Linked DNA regions of Medicago truncatula. The protein of the gene in region 1 interacts with the protein of each later gene in a pairwise test. Links are inferred from orthologs where the notes say so. Each region holds a gene or a part of one and is shown in the gene's direction. Other genes may lie near its edges.

Region 1 (13,065 bases):
GCAGAATCAAGTTCAAATTAGAAACAAAGAAGAATTCTAACCTTTAACAGGCTTGCCCGTGTTGCCTTCATTAATCCCTTTACTACTTTGCTTCTCATTGCTGCTGCTATAGCAACAATTAACAGGAACGGCTTGTCCAGATCCAGTCCATCCCGTGTCATCTAACAATCAAAAAACTTTCCAAGTTAGCATAACTTTCATCGTTGCTAGAACAAACAAAGTGAAAAAGTCCAATTTTTAATGATAAATGTAGGGAAAAAAGCATAATGGCGTTCAGAACAAACAAACCTGTAGTCACTTGAGGCAAACTGGCTGGCGGTGGAGCATTAAAATTCAGAGATGATAAAGGCAGATTAGTAACTGGTGTACCAAGCACAGATGATGAATCTGTGCTATAAATGTAAGTTGGGTCAACAAAAGCAGATGAAGGTTGCAATGTCCCCATGACTTGGGGGGATGCAGTAGGAGCTGATAATGCAAAAATAAAAACCAGTGTTATTCCATAATTCATACAATAGACAAAGGCGACTGGTAATCAAATATGGTCGAGTACGCTTACCGTTTTTGGGAGCTTTTTGAGGGTATGGGTGAGCAGCTTTTCTCTTTGGCCGAGGAGGAGGTACATGTTCACTTGTTCCACTCTTCTGAACTTTGAGAAAATACTTCTGTGCATGACTTCGTATCTACAAAAAATAATTATGCATAGAAGGGTAAATAAAGGAAAATTTGAGGAACATATAAGGAATGTCAACATATTCATCATAAGGAAAAATGATAAAAACAAACACTACACTCATTACATAATTCAAGATGAGTAAATGACTTTATCACCTTTCGTTTAATCTTAATTAACCATTCAACAAAAGTAACAACCAAAAGGTTTATTTCTTAACCCATCATCAACTGTCAGGTTTTTTAAGAAAAACATCACAATTAACATAAGTCCCCAAGTACTGTTTGGAAATCACCATGTCACTGTTCTATTCAAGTATATATTCAGTAATGACACTGAATAAATTTCGCAAAATACACAGTATTGAATTCAAAATTTAAGAATGATGAAATACTGAATAAATTTATTATTTAAATGCTCTGAAAGAAACCAAAACCATCTAACGTCCAATAATAACTTGTCCTTTGTTTCCCTTTGAATTTTATGATAATTACCTGGATAACTGTTTTTGAACCAACAAAGGCTTCGATCTTCTTCCAATCACGATCGAATCTGAAATTAATCATCAGTAACACAGAAGAAAATGAGCACAAATAAACCACTAACCAGACACCACAAAACATGGTATAAACCACTAATCAGACACCGCAAAACATGACATAGCACTTACTGGAGAACACAATCTACTACAGCCTACACTCACAAATGGTAGAATCAATGTCAATTCTATGGATTTCCCTAAACTCGTATCCGTGACCATTATATTTTCTAATATTTTTCTCAAGGTAGTGAATTATGCAACCATGGAGTTTCGAAAGAATATAAACCCTAATTCTTTCAATTATTAATCTTCGCATAATCTGCAAGCTATAAAAAAATTAATGTAGATGAAACGATGTCTATAATTAAAATTAGATAATGAAACACTGTTTGAATCATGATTGAATCAGGTCTTTCCTCACATCCCCAATCATGCATTCACATACGACCTAAGAATCCATCTAAAACACATTTTCATAGCAGAATCTGCATTTTGCAGACTGTTACTTAAATGAAGGGGGCAGCAGCCTTATAACTCGGGTATTAACTTCAAGCAGTGGTACTTGTTCGATGAGGGATCCTTAGAAGAGAAAGACTGTAAGAGGTTACTATTATTATTGTGGCTGAAAAGTTTAAGTAAAAAACGTTGTAAATAAATAAACCATAAACACGAGAGGCCATAACCTGAAAATAAAGGACAATTTCTATTTCTATAAACTATAATACTTACAATCCCTCTTTCAAATCATTATTTCAATTCCCAGTCTCCAGTAGTTGGTATTAAGTAAACTAAAATCCCAATTCTTGTGAATAGTGTAAACATTACAAGGATCAGAATAAAGATTGTAATCAACGCAGGAAGAAGAGTGATAATAGTAGACAAGTAATTGAAGTGATTAAGAATGTGGGGAGAAGTCTAGATTATCATTCCATACTAGAATGCAACCCACGCCTTTTGTTACAACCCATTTTGATTTAGAAGATGTTGCGAGTGTCACAATGCATAACTAAGCAAAAGACAGGGGCCATCTTCATTGTATTTTTTTTACCTTAAAAACTTCAAATCACTGTCACTACTACACAAATCCATATTCTTCCAACTCAAACCTTTTACTATATAAACATCATTTCCTTGCCGTTTCAAATCTAAGTTTAAGTAGAGAAAGATAAACCCAAAAGAAAAACATGCAAACTTTCTTCACAAACTGAATGAAAAATTTAAACTTTGTTGTAAACAGATTGAAAAATGTTTCATTTGGTACTACCCAGAAAAGAAAAGTGAAGACGATTTTGAATACAAAATGGTGGTGCTTTAATTACGATGTGAAAGAGAGTGATAAAGGCTTACAGAAAGTTGACGAAGAAAAGAACAATATTATATACATAGCGCTGCCACTGGAAGTGTGTATGTAGGGATGTGGATTCAAACTAGGATTCCGCACTTCTCAACATACGACACTTATGTCAGTGTTTAGCAGCTAGACTCTTCAAAACCAAAAAATAAATACTAGTAACAATCAAACTATATCAAATTTCTTTTTTGGAAAAATAGGGTAAAATTGTTGTAAAAGGGGGAGTCTTGGCGGTAAAGTTGTTGTCATGTGATTGAAAGGTCGCGGGTTCAAATTCTGAAAACAACCTACTGTGTAAAAAAACAAGATAAGGCTGTGTACAATACACCAAATGGTGGGACCCCTACCCGAACCCTGTTTATGCAGGAGCTTCGTGCATTGGGCTGCCCTTTTTTTCTTTGGGTAAACTTGTGGATAAACTCCAATTAAAAAACCAATTTTGATCATTGAAAATCATTGGTCTTCACTAATTACTTGACTGATTAACATTCCTGACTCACGACCAAATATCACCTTTAATCATCAAGAAAACTTGAGAACAGTGAAATTCCACAAAAATATAGGCAATCGCAAATTTTCATAAACCCCGGCGCTGTTTTAAACAACTTAACGAGCAGCTGATAGCATAAGCAATTATCTTATATCAGCGCTTATTATAAGCTATTTCCATAACAAAAGATAAAATAAAGTCAAATTGTTTTCGAATAAGCTATAAGATCCTGAAGAGCTTATGGAAATAAGCTGAAGACAACTTATGAACAAGTCATAACTCATAAGCGATTTTCATAAGCTCTCTCGAACAGTAGATAAAATCAAATAAGTCCCAATTCAAACAGGCCGCTAATCTTTTTCCTCAATAATAATAATCCTAAGTAAATGTAAATCCAAACAGACCCTAATTCATCAAGAAAATTCAAAAACACCAAAATTCCCGACATAATCATTTTCCACAATATTCAATAATGATACAAACAGAACCTAATTAATTAACAATATAAGCAATTTCTTCTTCAATCCAACTTACAATTGAAGAGCTTCTAGAAACTTATCATGCTCCTGATCAGTCCAACTCTCTCTAGATTTAGTAATCGTATATGGTTTCCGGATCTTCTTATTAGGATCCTCAGGAACGGTAGATGCTGCGGCGGCGGTAGTAGATGGCGGCGGAGGTGGTGGAGGAAGATTGTTAACACCGGGAAGAGCCATAGTTGAAGGATCGAAGAAGTAGAAACCTTGTGGTGTTGGATTAGGGTTTATAGATACCATAACCAAAACCGTAATTTCGATTATCTCGCGTGTATGTGTCTGTTGGTGTAGTTTACTTTACTGTTGCTCTTGTCTTTGTTTTGTTCGCAGTGTTTGGTATTTGATAAACGACGAAGCGTTGTAATGGACATTCTAGAAATTTGTTGGTGGTTAATGACTGTATGTATGTACACGTGACATCAAGTAAAAACAATGTCGGCTGCTTTTTTCACTCCCACAAAACCGATTTCACTATTTGTTTTGCATTTTTTTTTTTACACAAGTATTGAACAACAAAATAGAGAAATGTTAAAACAGTGTTTTTGGCATAGGATAAGAGAATAAAAATATTGTATTAGAAAATTATGAAAAGTAATGAATTTAAATTTTAAATATTTAAAATGACGTTGAATCCAATGCAAACATGATATTTTTGGTTTCTTTAACAAATGTTTTGATGGTATTTTTGTTAGCATAACCCAACAAAATAAATGAGTGAATAAGTAATTATCTCTGAAATTGTAAGTTGTGTCAGTTACCCTTTGACATTAACAAAATTTTAATTATCCTTCGAAATTGCATAACATTAATCAATTTCGTCTTTCGTGGTTCTGTTAAAGGCGATGATGTGGTTATTTGATGCTGACATGTCAATGCTTGCTGGCAAAGGGTAACTGACTGAATGAGAAAAGTCACGTATATAACTTTTTTATAATTTTTCCCCAAATACCTCCCTAATTTCACCCGACATTCCAAAACAACCATTTGTCTTTTGCTTACCCTTTCAACACTTTCAACCGCGTCCAACCAAAAGTCACATGAACTACCACCAATCGTCGCCTTGCGTCCTCAGTTGCGGATATCACAATCTTCATCATTCTGTCACCGTAAGACCCATATACATAAGGTACGCTTCTCATAAGTTATGCAACCTTGTAGCTATGTTTTTGGTCTAAAAAAAAACTACCATAATGGTGGAATTGGTCTATGTTTTGTATCTAAATCTTCCTGTTTGAATGGTTTTGCATGTTAAAGATTTTTTTTTTTTTTATAAATAAGGTTGATATGGGAATAATCGTTCTCTTTTACCATTTTAATCATCCTATTATCGTTTATATGCGATATTATAGTATTTGAATGTTGTTAATTCGTTTGATTTTGCATGTTTATATGATGTATGTTTTTTTAAGGGTAAGTTGTTATCGTTTATATGGGGGCATATCACTTGCATGTATCATGGAGGGAGGTCTGTAAGAAATGGAAGAGGTAACCATGAATATACAATGAAAGGACGACGTGTGTGGGGAGGATGTAGACCTAGACCTCTTTTGCATATTTGATATTGAAAGAATGGTTGTGGAGTGTGGTAATTATGGGAGTGTTGAGGGTATGCAGTGGATGAAGAAAAAACTTGGCGAAGATTATGATTTGGGGTTGATGTCATTAATTGTTAATAGCGACGTTGTCAACATGGTTGACGCTGCAAAAGAAATGGAAATTGTGTTGACGTATACGTTACTCTTGCACATTATGTTATGGAGTGTGTAGAGGTGGAGCCTATCATTGAAGCTGAAAGGGAAGAGATTGAAGAAGCAATGATGTTGGCTAAAACTCAAATAAGAGCGTGTAAAGTATCCAAAGAGCCAGAGAAGAATGCTGACATGGAATTTGTCCAAGGACTTGTTAGGGAAGTTCAAACACATACTTAAACAAGAGTTGATTTAGAGCCAGACGATGTTTTGGGTCAAGAGTCTCAAGCAAGGCAAGAAGGTCCAGAAACCGTTTTCATTAACCGGTCTCAAGCAAGTTCAAAAACATACTCAAATCATCTGGAGTATTGCGACTACAAAATAATTCAGACTTCTGGAGATTAATGGCTTGCACCGAAGCTTCTTCATAAGTAGTCAAAATATTTTTCATACAAACATCCTCACTCTCACAAGCTTTAAAGAAAAGAAAACAATCGTCTGCAAAGAGAATGTGAGAAATAACTGGTGCATTTGTGCATATCGAAGTACCTCTAATATTATTGCAACGTTCAGCTTCACGAATAAGGGAGGAGAGTCCTTCAACACAAATGATAAATAAATAAGGTGAGAGAGGATCCCCCTGACGGAGGCCGCGTCCTGGCACAATAGGACCCACTGATGCTCCATTAACCAAAATCGAGTAATCAACCGTCTCAACACAAAGCATAATCCAACTAACCCATCGAGATAAAAAATCCCATTTGAATCATGATTTCTCGTAGGTAATCCCAATCTAATCTATCATATGCTTTACTAATGTCCAACTTAAGTGCAACATCTCCACTCTTTCCCTTTACCTTAGCCTTCATATATGTTTATTATATACATGTTCATCTAGTTTGTTACATTTTTTAAATGGTAAAAAAAAAAATTAAACATTTATGTTTATTACATTTTTATTTTAATATTTAAATTTATTCTTATTTATTTATTAAATGTTTTGTTTATATTAAAAATTGAGAGCATTTTTTAAAATAAAAACCAGCCCAAAGAAGGTTGGTTTCTTTTGCGAATATTAGAACCTAAATAACAATCCAATTTGCACATTTTTACCATGGCAAGACTCTCCTCCACCATCGAAACCCCTTACCAACGCCATAGACACAACGATCGCCGCCGCACTCCCGACTCCGATGTCTCCAACGATCGCCCTCGCTACCGTCGTAGCCCTAGCTACGACTCCTACGACGATCGTCACACAGACCGCCACCGTCGCCGTTCAATATCCCCTGAAAACCGAAACCCTAGACACCACGATAACGGAAATTCAAACGGAAACCATCTTCCAAAGAAATTCGGACACCGTAATAACGGTTCCTATCTCGACCGCAACGATTCTCGGCGTAACGAGTCTGAATCTGATGAAGAATTGAAGGGATTGAGTTATGAAGAGTATCGCAGATTGAAGAGGCAGAAGATGAGGAAATCGTTGAAGCACTGTATTTGGAATGTTACGCCGAGTCCTCCGAGACGCGAGAACGATGATCTTGAAGATTATGGTAAACCTGAAGAAATTTCTGAGATAATTGATGTGAAGAAGGATAAGGAGATTAAACAGAAAGCAAAATCTGAGTCTGAATCGGAGGAATCTAAAGAATCTGATTCGGAATTGAGGAAGAAGAGGAGAAAAAGTTATAAGAAGTCGCGTGAAAGCGATAGTGAATCTGAGTCTGAATCAGAAGTGGAAGATAGGAAGAGGAGAAAGAGTAGGAAGTATAGTGAAAGTGATAGCGATACCAATTCCGAAGAAGAAGATCGTAAGAGGAGGAGGAGAAGGAAGAGTAGTAGAAGGAGAAGGAAGAGTAGCAGGAAGAAGAGAAGGTGTAGTGATTCAGATGAGAGTGAAACTGATGATGAATCTGGCTACGATGATAGTGGAAGAAAGAGGAAGCGATCGAAACGGAGTAGAAAAAGTAAGAAGAAAAGTTCTGAACCGGTTAGTGAGGGTTCGGAGGAAATTGAGTTGGGTTCTGATTCGGCTGTTGCGAAGATTAATGAAGAAATTGATGATGTTGATGAGGAGAAGATGGCTGAGATGAATGCTGAGGCTTTGAAGTTGAAGGAATTGTTTGAGTCACAGAAGAAACCGGCTTTGGATGATGATGAACCACCGGTTGGACCAATGCCGCTTCCAAGAGCTGAGGGGCATATAAGTTATGGTGGTGCGCTTAGGCCGGGTGAAGGAGATGCTATTGCGCAATATGTTCAACAAGGGAAACGTATTCCCCGGAGAGGAGAAGTGGGTCTTTCTGCGGAGGAGATTTCGAAGTTTGAGGAACTTGGTTATGTGATGAGCGGTAGTAGGCATCAGAGGATGAATGCAATTCGTATTAGGAAAGAAAACCAGGTTTATAGTGCTGAAGATAAGCGTGCTTTGGCTATGTTTAATTATGAAGAGAAGGCTAAAAGGGAGCATAAGGTTATGGCTGATTTGAATCGGCTTGTGCAGCGTCATATTGGTCAGGATGTTGGTCCAATTCATGATCCTTTTGGTGCAAAAGATGGTTCTGATTGATATTCATGTATGTTAGCTTGTGTTCTTTCGCTTTATTTGTAGTTGTTTTTGTTTTGCTGACTATGTTATTCAGACAATCTGTTTAGACTGAGAAAATAGAGATATAGAACTTATTGTCTTCGTTAACTTAGCAGTTGAATGAATATTCAGACAATGGTGTATGTTTTTTTAATAAATGATTAAGTAACTACTATATAAACAGCTTGGTTTGGTTAATACTGTGTATATCTGATTATGTGAAATTGCTATAGATTGGTAGATTTATCATTTATTGCAACTTGTCAAGCATGTGGAGTGGTTTTGATTTAAGAAACTAGTTGTAAAGCATGTTGATTGGTTTTGATAATAGAAACTAGTTATTTGCTGCTGTCGTGTTTGTGGTTGAGGAAATGATATTACCCAATTTCGAGTTTCCCTTCGTGCTTTTTGGCTGCGGATTGCTCATGTTCGTTGGTATGGTGTATAATGATATTTTTATTGGGTTGGGGCCTCACCTTCCTGGAGACTCAACAATATTGAACTTGTTTGTTAAATCAGGGCCAAAACACCATTCTTTTGATTGCTGCTGTTAATGTTTTTTTTTTTTTTTTTTCTGAATGGCAAATGTTAGTGGTTAGTTGTTGGATTAAATTTTTTCTCCTTCGCCTGGGTTTGAACACTTGACCTCCTTATCCCTTGGCTCAAACCAATTGAGCTACCCAACCCCCCTGGTTGATGTTATATGTCCAGGATTTGAGGTTTAATCTTCTGAGTTCTGATACAAATTGGATTCTTTTCACACTGTTGAAATGTGAAAAGACAGGAGTATTTTTCTAGCCAAGTATGTCCAAGATTAAGGGTTACAAATTGAAAACTGTTGAAAGTGACGGGAGTATTTTGCTAGCCAAGGTTTTTTGTACCTGAAGCCTTGCCTAATACATTCATTTCACACTGTTATCTGGCTATCTATTCCTTTCGTACCATGTCTCTCATTTTCTTTCTATAATTATCCCTCTCTTACATCTCTTGGTGCAACCTGCACACATTCCAAGTGGTGTTTGAATAAATCTATATTGTTTTATCTGTAAAATGTTATTTTTACTTTTTATATTCCAAGTGGTGTTTCAAATATAATGATTTTCTTGCATGCCGAGGCTGTTACTCGTATGTATCAAATATTCATCCTGTTATATTGTGCTTGTAACTCGTCTACTGCTTTGTGAGATGCAACCTAGCAAAATGAGTCTCCACAATGTTCAGACCATTCTAATTTTTATTTTTTTTTATGGTCATCGCATCATTCTAGTAGATACCTCAGAAAAACTAATCCTTTATTCTACTAATGTTTTTGGTTCAAAAAATCCATGATGCAAAAGCCAATTTTTTTTAACAAGGTGCAAGTGCATGATGTCACAATTGAGTGTGATAAATCCATGTTTGGGAGAAAAAAAGAGGGAAATACTTTGGAGATTTTTAAACCCCCAAAAATTGTGTGTGTGGGGTGGGGGGGTTAACTTTAAAGTACATTTTTACTGCAGCTCTCTCTTGTAAACGCCACTCTCCCTCGATTCTCTCTTTCTCTCTCTCCATCGTTCTCTCAGTCGGTCACTTTCAAGATTAAAAAATTTCACCGTCTTTTGCGGTTTCTGTCCAATTCTCACCATTCATTACCTCACTCCTTCCATAGTTGCTCTATTTTTTTTTTGTTGAAATTGATTAATTGATTTTTGTTTCTTCATGAATCGTGGTTAACAAAGCTTGCTTGAGTGTAGGCTTTGACTAGTGCTGTGAGTTCATTTTTGTTGAACCAACACAGAAGTGTGTTTTTGCTTCTTGCTTTACAAAGTTATCTGGTTTAATGCTTGAGTGAAAGATTTTAGGGTTTGTTTTTCTTTCTGAGATTGGGTTCTCAATCCCATCTGTTTCTGGTTTTGTTGATAGGCCGTCGTCGGTAAAAAAAACTAGTTTTAGATTCCTCTGGAAGTACCAGAGTTGCTAACTGCTCTAATTTTCACACATATCACAGAATTTTATGAATGAAAAATTTCAGCAAACAAGAATCTATAGCTTTTTTGTCACCATTGTAAGAGATCAACTAGTGTCATTTCATCTTGTAAAATGATTTATGATTCAGATTTTAGTGTATTAATTAGGTTGGATTAATCAGTTTAATGATAAACAAACAAAAAGAAAGCTGTGGTGTATTGTACTTACCAGCACTGGAATCTAGATAGAAATTTTATCAGACTGTATCAATATGTTCGATAGATATGGTTGTATTTCTTGATCAAGAAGACCTCTTCCATTTCAGTTGATTTTTGTTTTCTCAGAAGGAAAGCTATATTTAGAGTGTATCTAGAGCTTTTGATTCATATATTATGACTGCTTCATAGAAACAGAATAATCCTTTGCACACTAGGTGGTGCAACTTTGGACTATATATTAAATCTATGATAAATGGGTAAATGCACTGCCATTTTTGGCAAGCCAATCATTAGGTTAATATAAAAAGTCAAAATCCCTATGCTCGTTCTGATATTCTTGCTGCAAGCAAGACTGCCATATGTTTTATTTGGTTTAAGTTTATGTGAAGTATTTATGTCTTACTAATGTAATATGAATTTTTCTTACTAAGAGAAACTTGAACACCACCCAAACAGAGGATGAGACATTAGATGTTTTTATAATGTTGCTTGGGATCAATTCTGGGACATACTCTTCACCGTGAACTCGAAGTTTGAAAACTCTCAACCCTGCTGACCTCTTTTACGTAATTGTGAAAGCCAAGAGAAAGATATATATCAATATTCACTATCTGAGTTGTAGAAATTCAAATTCTCTGGGACATACTCTTCACCGTGAACTCGAAGTTTGAAAACTCTCAACCCTGCTGACCTCTTTTGCGTAATTGTGAAAGCCAAGAGAAAGATATATATCAATATTCACTATCTGAGTTGTAGAAATTCAAATTCTTGCTGTCAATTTGAATGGGTTGTTTGTACATGTAGACTGTCCTGTATGCTGTTTCGTGTTGGCATACATATATATATATATTATGTAAGTCATCAAATGCGCGTGTGGCTGCACTAGCGGCTGCACTATTCTCAAATCTTGAGTATTATTTTAATGCATGAATCACATCATACCTGAGTTTCTTCCTCCGCTTCTCTTTATCTTTAACTTGACAACCTTCGTTAGTTCAAACAATGAGAAACTTGCTCTGGTGTTGCACTCATTTTCTTCCTTTGTTCCTTTACTGGTCTCTGTTGCTGCTGTTGTACCTTCCATTGTCTTTTCTAGGTTTTTCATCTTCTAACAACTCTCTTATAAGCAGGTGATGAAGGAAAGTGAGATAGGAGTTGTGAAGTGATCATGGAAGAAAACGTCATCAGTTGGAGATAAATCAATTGCAAAGGATGATTGAGCATTGGATTTGTCATGGACTCTTGTGGAGCAAGAGTGGAGAGAAGTTGTTTAGGAGAACTCTTGAGAAGATGAAGAGGAGGAGGATGGTGAAGAAGGATGCTTTGGTGATGCAGCTTATAACTGAATCGACTGATTAATTTTTCCGCCTTCAATTTGTTTTTCTACATTGTTTTCTCTGCTCTTTTGGTGTTGTGTTCCATAACAATTGAGGTTTGTTTTGAAAGACAGACAAGATTCTGAAATTCTAGCTCTATAATAACTTACTTTCTGGTGAAGAGAAATGGAAAGCTTTTTTGTTATCTTCCTCTTTGTTGTGTGGATGTTAATAAAGATTTTTAGAGGCGTAAATGAAAAATAATATATTTATAGGTCTAAAACTAAACGAGAGTAAGGTGAAGGAAGAGCGGTAGTGAGAGAGTGCTAAAGGTGACAGAATATTCCGTGTCTTTGCTCAAGTCATGGTAAGGTGAAGAAAATAGTTTAAAATTTGTAGCCTACCAATCAGAGGGCATACCAGCATGCTAAATCTATAAATTAAATATGGTTAGGTAGTGAGTTGTGTTAATTCTATTATATGTGAACTATGATCTCCACAACGTTTATTGAATTTGTAAATTGGTCTATCTAGTTATTTAATTATAGATGACCAATTTTGTCTAACATGCACAAGTAAAGTAAATTACTTTTCTTTTGCTTTTCGTCCTTGCTATGTAATATTTTGATGTGTCCCACCCATTAGTGTATGTAATGCGATTATCCATCATCCTACATTGAAAACAGTTGTGTATCTAAAACTTTGGATCAGAAGTTCAAACTTTGAACCCTCTCAAAAAGGGATAGCTCAACCCCTAATATAGCATATTTTCAACTCAGATTTCTCTCTGTTTCTTTTCTAATTTCACAGTCTTTTCTAATTAACAACATGCATCATTAGAAACATTTGCAACAAAGAAACAAAAGGCAGGCTCTGTTAACAGATACTTCAATCAAGAATAAAGATACAAAATGAACATGTCATAATAACTAGATGAGTAACAAAAAATTATCTATGAAAAGATGGTTCTAATTCATCTTGACAGTAATAATAAATTCTACATTCTTTTCAATCAAACTAGAATAACCTAGGTGAATGAGCAGAACAGACTGTGAACCAGACCTAATCAATGGTGCACATAGCCAAATTCTAATTTGAACAAAGGAAACACGATCCATGGATACGATCACCATTCGATGTTGAACCAGACCTAATCTAATCTAATGGTGCACAATCCATATCAAATGAAAATTGATTTTCTTCATATTCTTCCCCTCATCGTCCATCTCCGGCCACCAACACCTTCCACAATCCCCACTACCTCTCGATGCCTCATTTCATCAAGTTGCCCATCTGCATTTGAAGCCACTGCATTAATTGCATGCAAAACCAACAGCTCCAGTCACATGGGAAGCCTACGATTTAGCAGTCCCTGACTGTAGTAACCTTTTGATCTCAAGGCTGCCAAGTTGCGGGATTTGTCTTCGACCACCAGATCTCACCCAAAGATGGTGCATGCTTGGATAGAACAGATTGTAGGTCCATTGTGAAACCCTTCTCAGCAGTTCCATCGTTGCAAGTCAGAGAAGCTGTAGGCGATTCATGCAAGACTAAGCAAAGAGGCAGTTTCACGGCTGGCTAAACAGAATCAGATACATATACACCGTTTACCAAGTGAATCCTCAAATCCTATGGTCGGAGCACAACCTTACTATTATCGGATTAGCTGAATATAACTCGTAATCATTGAATCAAATTGAAAATGAAATTCA
Region 2 (13,044 bases), on another chromosome or scaffold:
GATTTCTGTTTCAAGGTCATAAAGATTATCAATCAAGTAGGTGGGAAGTTAAAACAACATCAGTGAGATTCTAAACTAGGCCAAACCTTATGTATTTTTCCATCCTCCTGCTTGCTTTCAAGAATGTTCTTTTTGGAACCGTCATTGATGGTGCTTACATCTCTGCGGCTACAATTTTTTTAATGATTACTTTAAGTTTAAGAAACTAAAAAAAAAGCCGGCATAAAACATACTTTGAGACAAATCAAATTACTTACATATTCTCACAAGGCGCTGAAGAGTTTTCCTTGTCATCATTCTCATTAAGTTGAATCTCATTTTCTTTATCATCAGAAGACATTGAACTTCCTACAGCCTTTCTCTTTTTGGCTTCAGGAATTCTTCTCTTGTGTGAGACTGTGATCCTTTTCTCTTCATTTTCACTCTCTTCAATAGTTTTCTTCTCTTCATTATTCGAACTTGACAGTGAGGTAATATCATCTCTAGAAACTTCTGACCGAGTTAGAACTGAACTCTTCTCTTCTTCGTTTGAACTTGACAGTGAAGTAACATCATCTCCAGAAGCTTGTGACAGAGTTAGAACTGAGCTCTTCTCTTCTTCTTTCGAAGTTGACAGTGAGGTAATATCATCTCTAGAAGCTTCTGACAAAGTTAGAACTGAACTCTCTCCTCTTTCTAGAGAGTCACTCCTTGATTTTTCTTCCGTCTCCAACTCACTAGAGTCACTTTCATGCGGCACGGGAACATGGTTTTTCTCCATAGCTTTCGCTTTCTTCTCTTTTAGACATTTAACAGTGTTATTTTCTGGTTCGTTTCGATTACTAGAATACAATGAATCAAACACACGGCTTTTAACCTCTCGTCCCTTAAATTGCACCTTTCTAGAGGAACCCACTGGCAATGAGTTGTTACATCCTTCTCCATTCTTCTTCACTCCATTAAATTCAAGCTTCTTCATTGCAGAACACAATGCTTTCATGGATGTTTTCAATTCCACAGAACTCTTTGTCCCAACCACCTTCTTTGGTGAGTTAAAAACCAATGCCTTAGCCACTACCCTGCTCTTAGGCTTCGACACAGCAACAGTCAATGATTTCTTGTTCTGAACACTTCTAAACTGTTCCAAATTAGAAACCTTCTTTTGATTCCTTGGAGTGGTCAAAGCCTTACTCACGGAGGGTGATTGCTTCACCTTGGCTTTTGGGGTTGCAGCAACCTTAGAAAGAGGTTTGACAACTTTCACTTTATTCTCAGTCACCTTGTGTGACAATGAGGAAATGAAATCCATTCTTGACATCCTTGGCTTTGCAGGAGCAGTATTCGGGCACTTCAAATTCGAACTGAAAAATAACAACAGCGAAAAATTGTGTCACTTTAAAGGCTCTACTACACAAGATTTTTAGTCCAATCACATCAGGATTCTTGATATTGTTTATGACTAGCAGCTTGTTTTGATCGACTTATTTGAGATTATCTACCGGCATAAACACTTATTATACCTTTTGTGAGAACTAATGGAAACCACTTATGGCATGTTCATAGCTATTTTCAGCTTATTTCCATAAGCTCTACAGGATAAAATATGCAAACAACTTATAGATTATATGAAGACAATTTGACTTTGTTTCATCTTTTGTCATATAAATGGCGTATGGCTTATAGACTTATGCTTAAGCACTTATATGAAGAACACTTAAAGGGCATAATTGAGCTGTTTATCTAAACATAACCTAGATTGCATTTGAAAACCATTTTCAAAACCCCAACTTTACCTACTATACTAAGAAATTATTTGAAAAATTTGTTCACGATACAAGTGTTAATAGTTGGCTACCTCGCTTCTCTTTCTCTTCGATTCAATGCTTTTCTAAGCCGAACATTGGGGCTTCTAGCTGCCATAACCTGAAAATCCAACACAAATTTGAGAAATACTCGTTACACATTACTCATTACTAATTAATTGTTCTTATGACCAAAACCAAAATCAATAAAGCAAGTCAGGTCTAGAAGATACCCGAAGAACAAAATTCTTGTAAATTGCTTCAGAATCAAACTCTTCTTCATGCTTTTGGTCACATCCTGAGAATTGAGTTCCAATTATCAAAATGAAAACATCTACAACACTGCATATCCAATGTGAGACACATATGTGAATGTCTGACACGGACACATGTCACTATTGTGTCTGGTGTCTGTGTGAGTGCTTCATAGATGAAAAATAAAAAAAATAATTACCAAAGCGAGCGCAGAACCAGTGACGGTCATCATCAGGACGGCGTTTATCAGGTTTGGTGAGGTCGACAAACTTAGGTGCTTCGATCTTCTCGTAGAAATCGTCGTCAATTTCTATTTCCTCTTCTTCAATTATAGGCAAGAATCGATTTTCTGACATTATTTTGTTAAGAGCGTTACAGTAACACAGTGTTGTTTTTGTTTTGGTGTTGTAACAACAAGTTTAGATTGTTCGAAGAATTTTAAAGTCCCGTGTAACTAGCCGTTACGATTCAGACAGGCTGGTAAGAGAATAAAAGAAACGGTATTCAAGGGTTCTTTTCGTCATTTCGAGTTCAAATTGGGCTTGAGGTTGGACTCGACCCGAGACCAAATGATTTCTTTTTACACTTCTCAATATCTCTTGGACCCCGAAATTCTGTTTTTATCTATAATATATACATAGCCGAAGGGTTTGAAAGTTATCTTCGGAAAACTGTTTTACCCGTAATGTATATGTATGATAGATACATGGCTAAAATATGCTTTTAGTCCCTGCAAATATAGAGAGTGTAAGTTTTGGTCCCTGGTAAAAAAAAAATTTGTTTTTCATCCTCGTAAAATTTTTTGTTTTTTAAAAAAGTCCCTGGCCCGTTGAAGCAGCCATCTGTCACTATGATGTCGACGTGGCACACGCTGACTGTGCATAAGTAGCCATGTGGCATCTGATGTGGCTTTTATCAATTAAAAAACAAATTTTAAAATTTCAAAAATCATTTTCAGTATTTAAAAATAAATAACTTTATTTTAATTGAATTAAAAAAAGACATAAAAGAGAAAGGGGGAAAATCTGAAACTCCCAAATTGCGTCCTCTCTTCTCATCTCTCCTAAATGGGTTTGTTGTTCCTTCGAAGTGTAATCAGGACAAGTTTTTTGTAGAGGATATTGTTGAATTTGGTTGGCAGTTTAGGTTGGGGTTGGAAGCTGGATCGAAGCCTGAATTGCTTTTGGCTTTGAGCTGTTTGTGTAAAGGTAACAGAGAAGCTTTTCTGGTTTGTAATGGATTCAAAGACAATTTGGTTGGGAGGAAGCTTGCTTTGAACGGTGTTATTGCTCTTGAGCAAGAGGAAGAGCTTAATATGGTGGTTGAGATTAGCAACAAGCTTTATATTCGTCTTGAATTGCTTGCTGATGGTGTTGGGGAAGCTGCACAAATTTATCTATTGCTTATGGGTTAGAAGAGTATGTTGCAGAGCTATTGTTCATGCTGTGTAGTTTTTTTACGAAAAATAAATAAAATAATTGAATCTAAAGCAAAAGAAAAATGTTGTTGTTGTCCTCCACCTGCTTTTTTCTCTCTTGAATCTTGATTCCTTTCGAGTTTCAATCCCACAAAGCAAATGTTGCTGTTGTTCATTCAGATTTGCTCTATACTGATTAATTTTCGAAATTTAATTACATTTCAATTAAATTAAAGCTTTTTATGTATTTTAAATTTCAGAAAATCAATTTTCGAAATTAAAAAACCCTTTTTCTAATTTTAAAAATTGTAATTGCCACGTCAGATGTCATATGGCCACTTATGCACAGTCAGCGTGCGCCACGTCGGCATCAGTGTGACAGATGGCTGCTTCAATGGGTCTAGGGACTTTTTTAAAAAACAAAAAATTTTGCGAGGATGAAAAACAAAATTTTTTTTTACCAGGGACTAAAACCCAAACTCGCTATATTTGCAGGGACCAAAAACATATTTTAGCCTAGATACATCCCAAAAGTTTCGGGAATTATCTTCTAGAGTGGTGAAATAATTATCTTCCTTTTATGCACAAAATATAGTGGTGATCGTTGATGTTTCTAAAAGAAGCTTTTTGATGACAGTCCATCATATCACATTTTTAGAGTCTTTTTAATTAAGTTTTAATTCTATTTTTATTAGTTTAATATTTAATTTAAAGTTATTTTGAATAAATTATCAATTTTGATTGATTGAGTCGAATTGTATTTTATTATTATTATTTGTCAATTAGTGACATGTTTTGAAGGCCAAGGAATGAAAAGAAATTAATGTGCTAGCATAATGAAGAAAAGAAGGTATGAATAGAAACTTAATAGCAAGTTACATGCATAGTAAAAGAAGTTGGGTTGTGACCCGAGAAAACATGAAGCAAGAGTGTTAGAAGTGAATTCTTTGCAAGATTTGTTGAGTGAATCTTGTCATGAATCTTCGTTTTTTCTTCCATTTTTGCAAGGCTATTATAAAAGTAAGTAGCTAAATATATCCTTTAGGGTTAGAGATGCTTGATCAAGTTAATATGAACTCTTTTTGATACTTAAATATAGAATCATATAGAATACACACAAACTAATGATGTGAGAGATACCGGATTGAGCCAAGTTATAAACATTATTAGTTATGCTTTTGTCTAAACATCAACTGTTTAAGAGTTATGATGTGAGAGATACCGGCCATTGGTTTTTGTAATGTTAACAACTGATATATTGTCTCTGATGGAATTTGCAGGTGGACAAGTGACAGTCGTGACGAGTACACCTAGGAAAAGAATAAAAGTGCTTAAAGAGATAGTTTTCTTTACGTATATTAAATTTATTTTTATCTATTTGTTAATGTGTTATTTGTATTAAAAATCAAAGGCATTTTTGAAAAGAAAAATTCAGCCAAAAAAAGCTAAAAGGATAGTTTTCTTTATGTATAGTATATTTGTATTAAAAATCAATGACATTTTTGAAAGAAATAATTCAACCCAAAAAAGCTGGGATAATTTTCTTTATATATAATATAGATCTTTAAAATTGATCAATTTGTTTTTTTTAATAGAAAAACCCAGTTTAATAAAATCGCTAACAATATCATTATTCTATAAATGTATTAAACACTAATATATTGAATATCAATTTTTTAAGAGACACGGAGTAAATTTCATTGATGTTCTCTTCGATGTCAAAAAATATACACTCCTCGCTTATCTTATGCAAAATTTATTGGAAAAAATCGAACTACACTCCATTTGAAAGAAGTTTAAATTACCTATATTTGATCTTTTATGTTAAAATGTACGACTCCTTCCCTTAATAATATTTTTTAATATTTTTCAAAAATAATAATAATAATATTTTTAATAGCCACACGTCGAAAATCTAATATACAAAAATTATGTAGAGAAAAATGATATTAGAGGTCCATTTTAATATAATCAAAAAAAAAATTTTGAAGGAATATATAATCAAAATTTAAAAGCATATTTTTCTCTATTTTAATTCACAATATCATTAACATGTGATTTTCCCCTAAAAAAAATCATTAACATATAATTTTAAATCCTATTATAAACTTTGAAAGAGTACAATATAAAATTAATTTCTTAGAAAAGTTACTAAAGCCTTTTTTTTTTGTGTACATTAAATCATATAAAATATGGCTACTTAAAAATGAATTTTTATTTTGAATCTTTATATCCATAAAAATGTATTTTATATTTTGAATCGTTATATTCATAATAAAATACTGAAATTAATATTGACATTCTATAAAGAAATAAATTATTTTTATGGTGACACATAGTTAGTAAATATTATACAATATTTATTTTAAAATGGATTAAAGCATATCACATACTTAATTTTTAATAGATAAGATTGTAATTCAAACATGTTTTAAGGAATGAGAGTTTATTTTACTACGTAGTTTTACTTTTCAAAGGAATAGAATGTATATTTTAAAATAAAAGAGTGTGGGGCCTGTAATTGAGGTTTGTTACAAAGATATGAAATTACTACTATTTGTTATATTGACGGTATAAATGATGAGTTTTGGCGTAAAGATAAATTTAATTTGTTGTTACGTGGTCATAAGTTCAAGTCTTGGGTATTTTTGAATAAAACGTAGCAAGGTTGTATACAGTACATCAATTAGTTAGACCCCTTCTCAGACTTTGCGTGTGCGGAAGCATTAGAGAATTGGGGTGCTTTTTTATTTTTTATTTTTTATTTTATATTTTGTTGATGTAATTGAAAAATATAAGCAACGTGTTATAATTTGGTGTTATATATTGTCATTGAAATTGAATTTTGATTATCTCCCTAAGTTTCACTTTACTTAACCAACCAACCAATATTGTGCAATATTGTACATGAGTTTAATTATGGTGCAATGATTGTGCAAAGCCAGTTTACACAATCATCTAATGGTCTTGTGCCACATCATTTACTTTTAAAAGGTGTTATTTAAATTATAAAAAAAGAAAAGAACAAAATAAATCCGGTGTGTTACATTCGTGCAGGCATCTTCGTCACATTCTCGCAACTTCCAACTCTGCAACTCTATTGCTTCTCTCCCTCAATACAACAAAAATCAATCGATTCTTTCTCTTTTTTCAATAGAAGGTATCAAATATTTCTAATATCCTACTTTCTTTTGTTCGTGCGAACGAGGTGAACACGACTCTCAATAAATAACCTTCGTTACGACCTGAGAACCATCTTGGAAGAAGATTATGCAAGTGTTGGTCTGAGACATTATCAACAGGTGAAGCGTGGATACAGACACGGACACCAGACACAACATAATCATTGACATGTAATAATTTGAGAAAATTATATAATTAAGTGTAACTATATGTGTTGGTGTGAGACACGACTCATGTCCGACACCGAGACACGAGTAATCCGAGGAGTATATGTGTTTCATTGTTCAATTATAATATTCATATACAAAAATAGATAAAAGATCATAAATTTAAAAATTAAGAGATCATAAGAAAATAAAAATATGAATTTTAAGCTTGAAAATTTATATGCAAATGGTTCAAATGACAAATTTGAAATGAAAATGAAAATAAAAATAAAAATAAAAATAAAAATAAAAGACTAAACTCTTGCCTAAAATTAAAATTAAGTCATCAGATTATGTCAAAAAAATAAATATAAAATTCATGATCTTTTGAATAACGAGCGTTGAAGAGAACAGCGATCCCTTCGACGGTGCCACCGTAGACAGAGACAAAGTAAGCTTCTTTCCGACCAAGTTTTTTTTATTCCCAATTTCGAATCTTTTTCTTCCCTAATTTAATGGGTCTTCATCAATTTCAACTTTGGTGTTTTAATTCGCCTCTAATTCTTCCTATCTGCAAAAAAAAAAACTTAGTTTTTATTTACTTTCATATCTTTCTTCGCTTCAATTTACATCCTTTATATCTTTGATTGAGTTCGTATGGTGGTAGAATTTCAGGGTTTAATGAAATGTTTGATTTTGCACTCTCTGGGTTCAATTTTAAATTTTTGTTTTTTATTTTCTCTTTGATTTGATGTTGAACCCTAATGTGTTGGAAGATCAAAATGGGTCGAATTCATCATGTAGATGAATATGCTATAGTTTTTCTGTGTAATAATCATCATGGTTCATCAATATGTTGAGGGCTGAGGCCTTTCTTTAATGTGAATTTGGGGATGTTTGGATAAACAACTTATTTTCAGCTTATAGCACAAGTTCTTATCATGTTAAGTGCTTATGTATAAGTTATTTCTGTAGCAAAAGATAAAATGAAGTTAAATTGTTTTGATATAAGCTATAAGCTGTTTTTATAAGTTATATAAGAGAACTTATGAAAGTATGCTGAAATTAGCTTGTGAACAATGACAAAAGCTGTTTTAATAAGTTCTTCCAAGCAGTTTCACAAAACTTATGTTAGTAGATAAACTCAAATAAGTCAATCTAAACATGCCCTAATACTTGTGTGCTACATTTTATTATAGCCTAAATGTCTTAGGGATTTGGATACAATTTGAAATAGAGAAAGGTATCTCTTTGTTGGGTTTTTCACTAAACAATGCATAATAGAAAAAGCGAACAGACGGACAATGTCTGTCTTTCCTAGTATGAATAGAAAAGACAGAATGGTATTTGTAGTAGAAGTAATAACCAAAAGCTTTTTGGTTCTTTGAAAAGATTTCTTGCATTAAGAACTCTGAGAAATTTGGAATATCTGAAGATTTTGTTTCTGAATTTGTTTATTTCATTCGTTTAGTCAAAGTCTCATTTTGAGTGTTCCTTACTTTGTTTTTGGCCAATATGATTAGATGGATTTGGAGACTGAAAACAGATTAGCTGCTATGCTTATGAGGGAAGCAGCTGAATTGCGGCGGCAGTCTGAAAAAGAGGGTGTTCTGGCTTATCTTCAAAAGCCTAATGTAAGGAGTCGGCCAAACTCACGTTTTCTCACTGCTACCGTACGTGGGGTACAACAAGGTTCTTCCTTACTGGCTAATTTTAGATAGAGTTTGGTTATTATTGCTCTATATCCCTATGTTTTATGGGTGTGCTTTCGATGAAGGTTTATCGTTGTATGGAAACTGGAAATATTCTTAATAGATTTAATCAGTCTGTTTCTTTGTCGTTGTTCTTTGAAAGTTTTATCATTATATGAGAAATGGAAAATATATTTTATAGATCTGTCTTTTGATCTATTTGGTGAAAGCTAGGTATGCCCTTTGAGTTTCAAACAGTTCTTATAGTGTATCCATGGCTTATTCAAGAGAATCAAATATTTTGATATATTAAAGAGAGATTCATAGGACGTATGGGCTTGTTTTTTTTTTTTTTTTTTTTTTTTTTTTTGCTTATGTATAGAGATCATTATTCACTTCTTTTTGGTTTTGTGCCAAAAATCAAGGGTTGGTCTGAGTTATTTTTAAGCGGACATTCTTCTCATTAGTGTCTTTTTTTAAGAGATTTCTCTTTAGTGTCTTTACACGCAGTCATGCACTAATGTGTGGGTCAAGTTTTAACAGGTATCGTATATGACTGCTTTCCGCCCTAGGTATACATCCAGTACATAACTGGTGCACTTGAGGTGCTTCCTTACAAAGTTATGGGACTTGGATCCACTAAAATGAGGGTTGTAAATTATATGGACTAGCGAGGTTACAATCATTGATTAGGAAATCTGTAGTTGAGATTATGATAAGATACATAAACATACATGCATATACATGGTAAACTAGGAAGTTGTTACAAACTTACAATTCACTCAAATTTTCAATTAACAATTACATTTTCAGACTTTTCATACTAGTGCTCCCCCTCATACAAATATTTGGGTCATAGCAGTGGACGGGAATAAGTCTCCTCTAGTTTGATTCACAAGGGGGAGAGTTGGAAAAGTAAAACTTATTTATCAAACCACGCCAACATTGATAGGGAGTGAAAATTCAGGGAGAATGGATTTTGCCCCCCCTCCCCTCCTGGCCATTTCACCCAACTAAACACTACTAGAGGAGCCAAACCACTGTTTATCTATGTCCCAAGGTCACAACATAAGAAATATTTATTACTGTTAAATTATATCTAACTACTTGAATAAAAACATATCAAATGTTTTTTGGATTTTCAAGCAAATTGTCATTTAACAGGTTGTATTTTAATTTTCAAATATAGCTGAAGGGCACAAGTTAAGAAAACGTTTTCTTTAAAAATATTTATACGATATTTCAATATGGCTTAGATACTATCACAATAAGCCAATATGACTCCAGTACTTGCAGTTTCATGCAAAGCCAAAGCACAAATTGTGACTAATGGTTTGATTGGACGCAGAGAGAAAATGGCTAGCAAGAAAATGAAGCTTAGGGAAGTTAGAGAGAAAATGAGATATGATGATAGTTACTACTATTTATTAATATCTCCCCATAGTGGCAATCTGTAGTAAGCATCACATTATTATTCAGGGTAGTCACTGTCGCTGCTGCCATAGTGGCTGAAATCGTATTAAATCATGAAGTTGAAGCCCGAATATTTTGCCCTCAATTTGAATGTTTTTGTTATACAAAGAGGAGTTGCCGTTCCTTTGTTTAGAAAAAAAATAGGTTTGAAACCCTTGTTTGGTTCTTTACAAAAACACATACCTCTTGGTTATACACTCATACTTTGGTGTTTTCAAGCCACACCTCTACTCCTGCACTTTCTGCTATGATCTTCTTCGTGTCCTCTGTTCCACACCCACCTACTGCTCTAGTCGTCTTTCTTGGTTTGGTTCCCTTTCATCTGCTATGAAACCTCTATTTTATCGACCTTTTAATTTTTTTCCTTTTCTTCATTTAGATATCTTTCCATTTAGGGGGAAAAGGATTGATTGTTGTTGTTGATGTAGATATCTTGCCCTCTGAATATATAGCTTCAATTTTGAGTTTTTATTTTTTAAATTTGAGTTGTCATAACTTAAATATGTGTAATATAAATTTTAAGTGTAGCAGTCATATCATTATCTGCTATCCGGCTAGAGCAGTTTTGGTTTTGCCTTACACACGTTGCAATTTGGGATTCATAACTATAGGCTATATATAAGTAGGATGGAGAGAAAAAGGAAAGAAAGAATTACGAAAACTTCTCTCATTTGGTTAACTGGACAGTTGAGAAGAAAAACAAAATTATTGTGCAAAGACTATTATGTTCTTTTAAAGTAATGGCAAGGGCTTAACTGGGTCAATTTGTCATTTCAAACACAATGTAATTGAAGCACCCCATGTCGAATATGAGACTTCTTTTCTTGAATATTTGTGACATTAAAATAACCATGATCGTATATATGCTGACCTCATAGTTTATCTATATTAATGGAACTGAATTTCTTTTGGTGCTTTCTACCAGCAAATCGAGCTGTCGAAGTAAATGAAATGTGGCGAGCGCGGGAGAAAGAATTGGAGCTAGATAAACGAGTTACAGGCTCATCAAAAGATAAAAGAAGTGATGACAAAAGGCATATGGATCATAACACATCAAGAAGCGCAGAAAGACACGCCGGGGATGATAGAAGCACTAGTGCCTCTGCTTCATGCTCAACTAAAAATGAATACGGGCATACTCAAGAAGGTTTAAAGGATGAAGAGCTTGAGGAGTTTCTACACTCAAGGTATTATTACTCTCTTATACTTTCGGATATTTTATCTGCATGTATGAATGCCTTCAAAATATCTACTGTTGAGTAAATTGACAATTCAGTCCTTGAAACTATAAGGGATGGCTATTCAGCCCCTCAAATTTACGCAATAGCAAAATAGTGTCTTAAATTAAAGAATACTATTAATCAGTCTAGTCCCTGTATCAAAATATTTCTTTATTGAACATCCATCAAAACCAATGAAAGACATACATATAGAATTAAATAGTCTTTTGTTGCATCAAAACAAGTGTAAAACCTTTAAATTGTGGTGCAAAATTTGAAAAAAAGACTAAATTGATTGATATTTTTAAATTTAAGAGACTAAATTGCTATTTCACAAATTTGAGGAACTGAGTTAACTGATTGTTACAATTTCTAGGACTAAAATACCTATTTATTTACTTATAATCTGTCTCTCTTTAATTTCTTTAAAGCTGAGGAAACTCCATTTTGGTGCAGGAAGAAGCGAGGCAGAGGTGCTATTGGTCCAAGGATGGATGAGACTGGACCTTACCTTCCTCCTAATCCTGATGAAGAGCCTTCTACTAGTCCGGATTTTAGGGAACACCGTGCTATTTATGGTCCAAAGAGGCCTCCATCGTTGCAATCATATGAATCTTCTAAGGAGATACTTGAAGGAAAATGGAAAAAGAGGCAGTCATATGAATCTTCTGAGGAGGAGCTACATGAAAAAAAACGGAAAATGAGGCAGTCATATGAATCTTCTGAGGAGGAGCTACATGAAAAAAAACGGAAAAAGAGGCAGTCATATGAATCTTCTGAGGATGGGCTACATGAAGAAAAACGGAAAAAGAGGCAGTCATATGAATCTTCTGAGGATGAGCTACATGAAGAGAAACGGAAAAAGAGTAAAAAATCTCATCATAAAAGCCACTCGGACAAGGTGCATTCTAAGAAGCACAGGTCCAAAGAGAAATCTAAGCATAAGAAAAGGAGAAGGGAGGAGAAAACAAGTAAACATCGACGCTAAGGCTATTCCGCAATCCGATATATTCTCAGAGGTTGTTATAACTAATAACCTGCTGAAACAGTTGATTGGGATGAAACTAATGTTTTGTACTTTGTACAAATGTATTCTGTAACATCAAATGTAATTCCTGCTAGAGATATTAATCCTCTTAGCTATAATAGTATGCACGTGCTTCTCTAATTAAATCCATTTCAGAATATCAAAATTATGGCTTGAAGCTTTTCTGATAAAAATCAAACATGTTACTTCTGCACAAAATTACTTAGAACGTCCCCACCGACTTGCATATACATGTTATTTTGGTCATGCAAGCAATGTTTTTACTCAGATTTTTATATATGTGGAATTGATCGCTTCCGAAACTCTTGAAACTAAATATCACGTCAAGCAACTCGTTATGATTAAAAAATTTAAAACTAAAATAAGCTTTTGTTTGAAGTGATGCTAAACAATATAATATTTAGCAAGAATTTGTCGATATGACTGACTACCTAGTCCCTATCCAAATTTACCTATATAATATTTCTAATGTAGTTACTTCAATTTCAAGTAATAGTAGTATCAGCAGTATTTTTTGTTAACTTCTGTTTTCTAAAATTAGAAAAATTGAGATGATGTAAAATTTGGACCGCATGCATATGCTGAAATTATGTTCCATGTCCAAACACTTTCCAACAATGTAGTGCTGTGCAGTCTACATTTTAGGGAATATATTCTGGCATATACTTTCTGCATGCTCGTATAGCTGTTATCCGATCAATACTACATTTATTTATTAATCACATATATTATTAGGTAAAACTACATCAGATATTTTTTAATGTAAATAAAATTTCAAACAGATTGAAACGAAAACAAAGATTCAAACATATAATTCATCTCTTTTTCAT

What was found.
Region 2: the proteins of NKAP-like protein (region 1) and high mobility group nucleosome-binding domain-containing protein 5 interact in a two-hybrid assay, tested with the Arabidopsis thaliana proteins (2 studies listed by BioGRID). The link is inferred for Medicago truncatula from reciprocal best matches to the Arabidopsis thaliana genes AT4G02720 and AT4G33690.

The regions. Positions count from the first base shown.
Region 1 is NC_053049.1:11,042,257-11,055,321, reverse strand, and holds NKAP-like protein, read left to right. Parts: upstream 1-6,340; 5' UTR 6,341-6,393; coding exon 6,394-7,854; 3' UTR 7,855-7,861; intron 7,862-11,167; 3' UTR 11,168-11,558; downstream 11,559-13,065. Other genes in the region: protein REVEILLE 5, read right to left, coding at 42-161, 289-468, 560-683, 1,168-1,225, 3,590-3,831.
Region 2 is NC_053043.1:2,417,764-2,430,807, forward strand, and holds high mobility group nucleosome-binding domain-containing protein 5, read left to right. Parts: upstream 1-7,129; 5' UTR 7,130-7,233; intron 7,234-8,305; coding exon 8,306-8,474; intron 8,475-10,871; coding exon 10,872-11,133; intron 11,134-11,622; coding exon 11,623-12,154; 3' UTR 12,155-12,359; downstream 12,360-13,044. Other genes in the region: E3 ubiquitin-protein ligase RBBP6, read right to left, coding at 1-5, 87-168, 258-1,340, 1,835-1,902, 2,015-2,079, 2,236-2,392.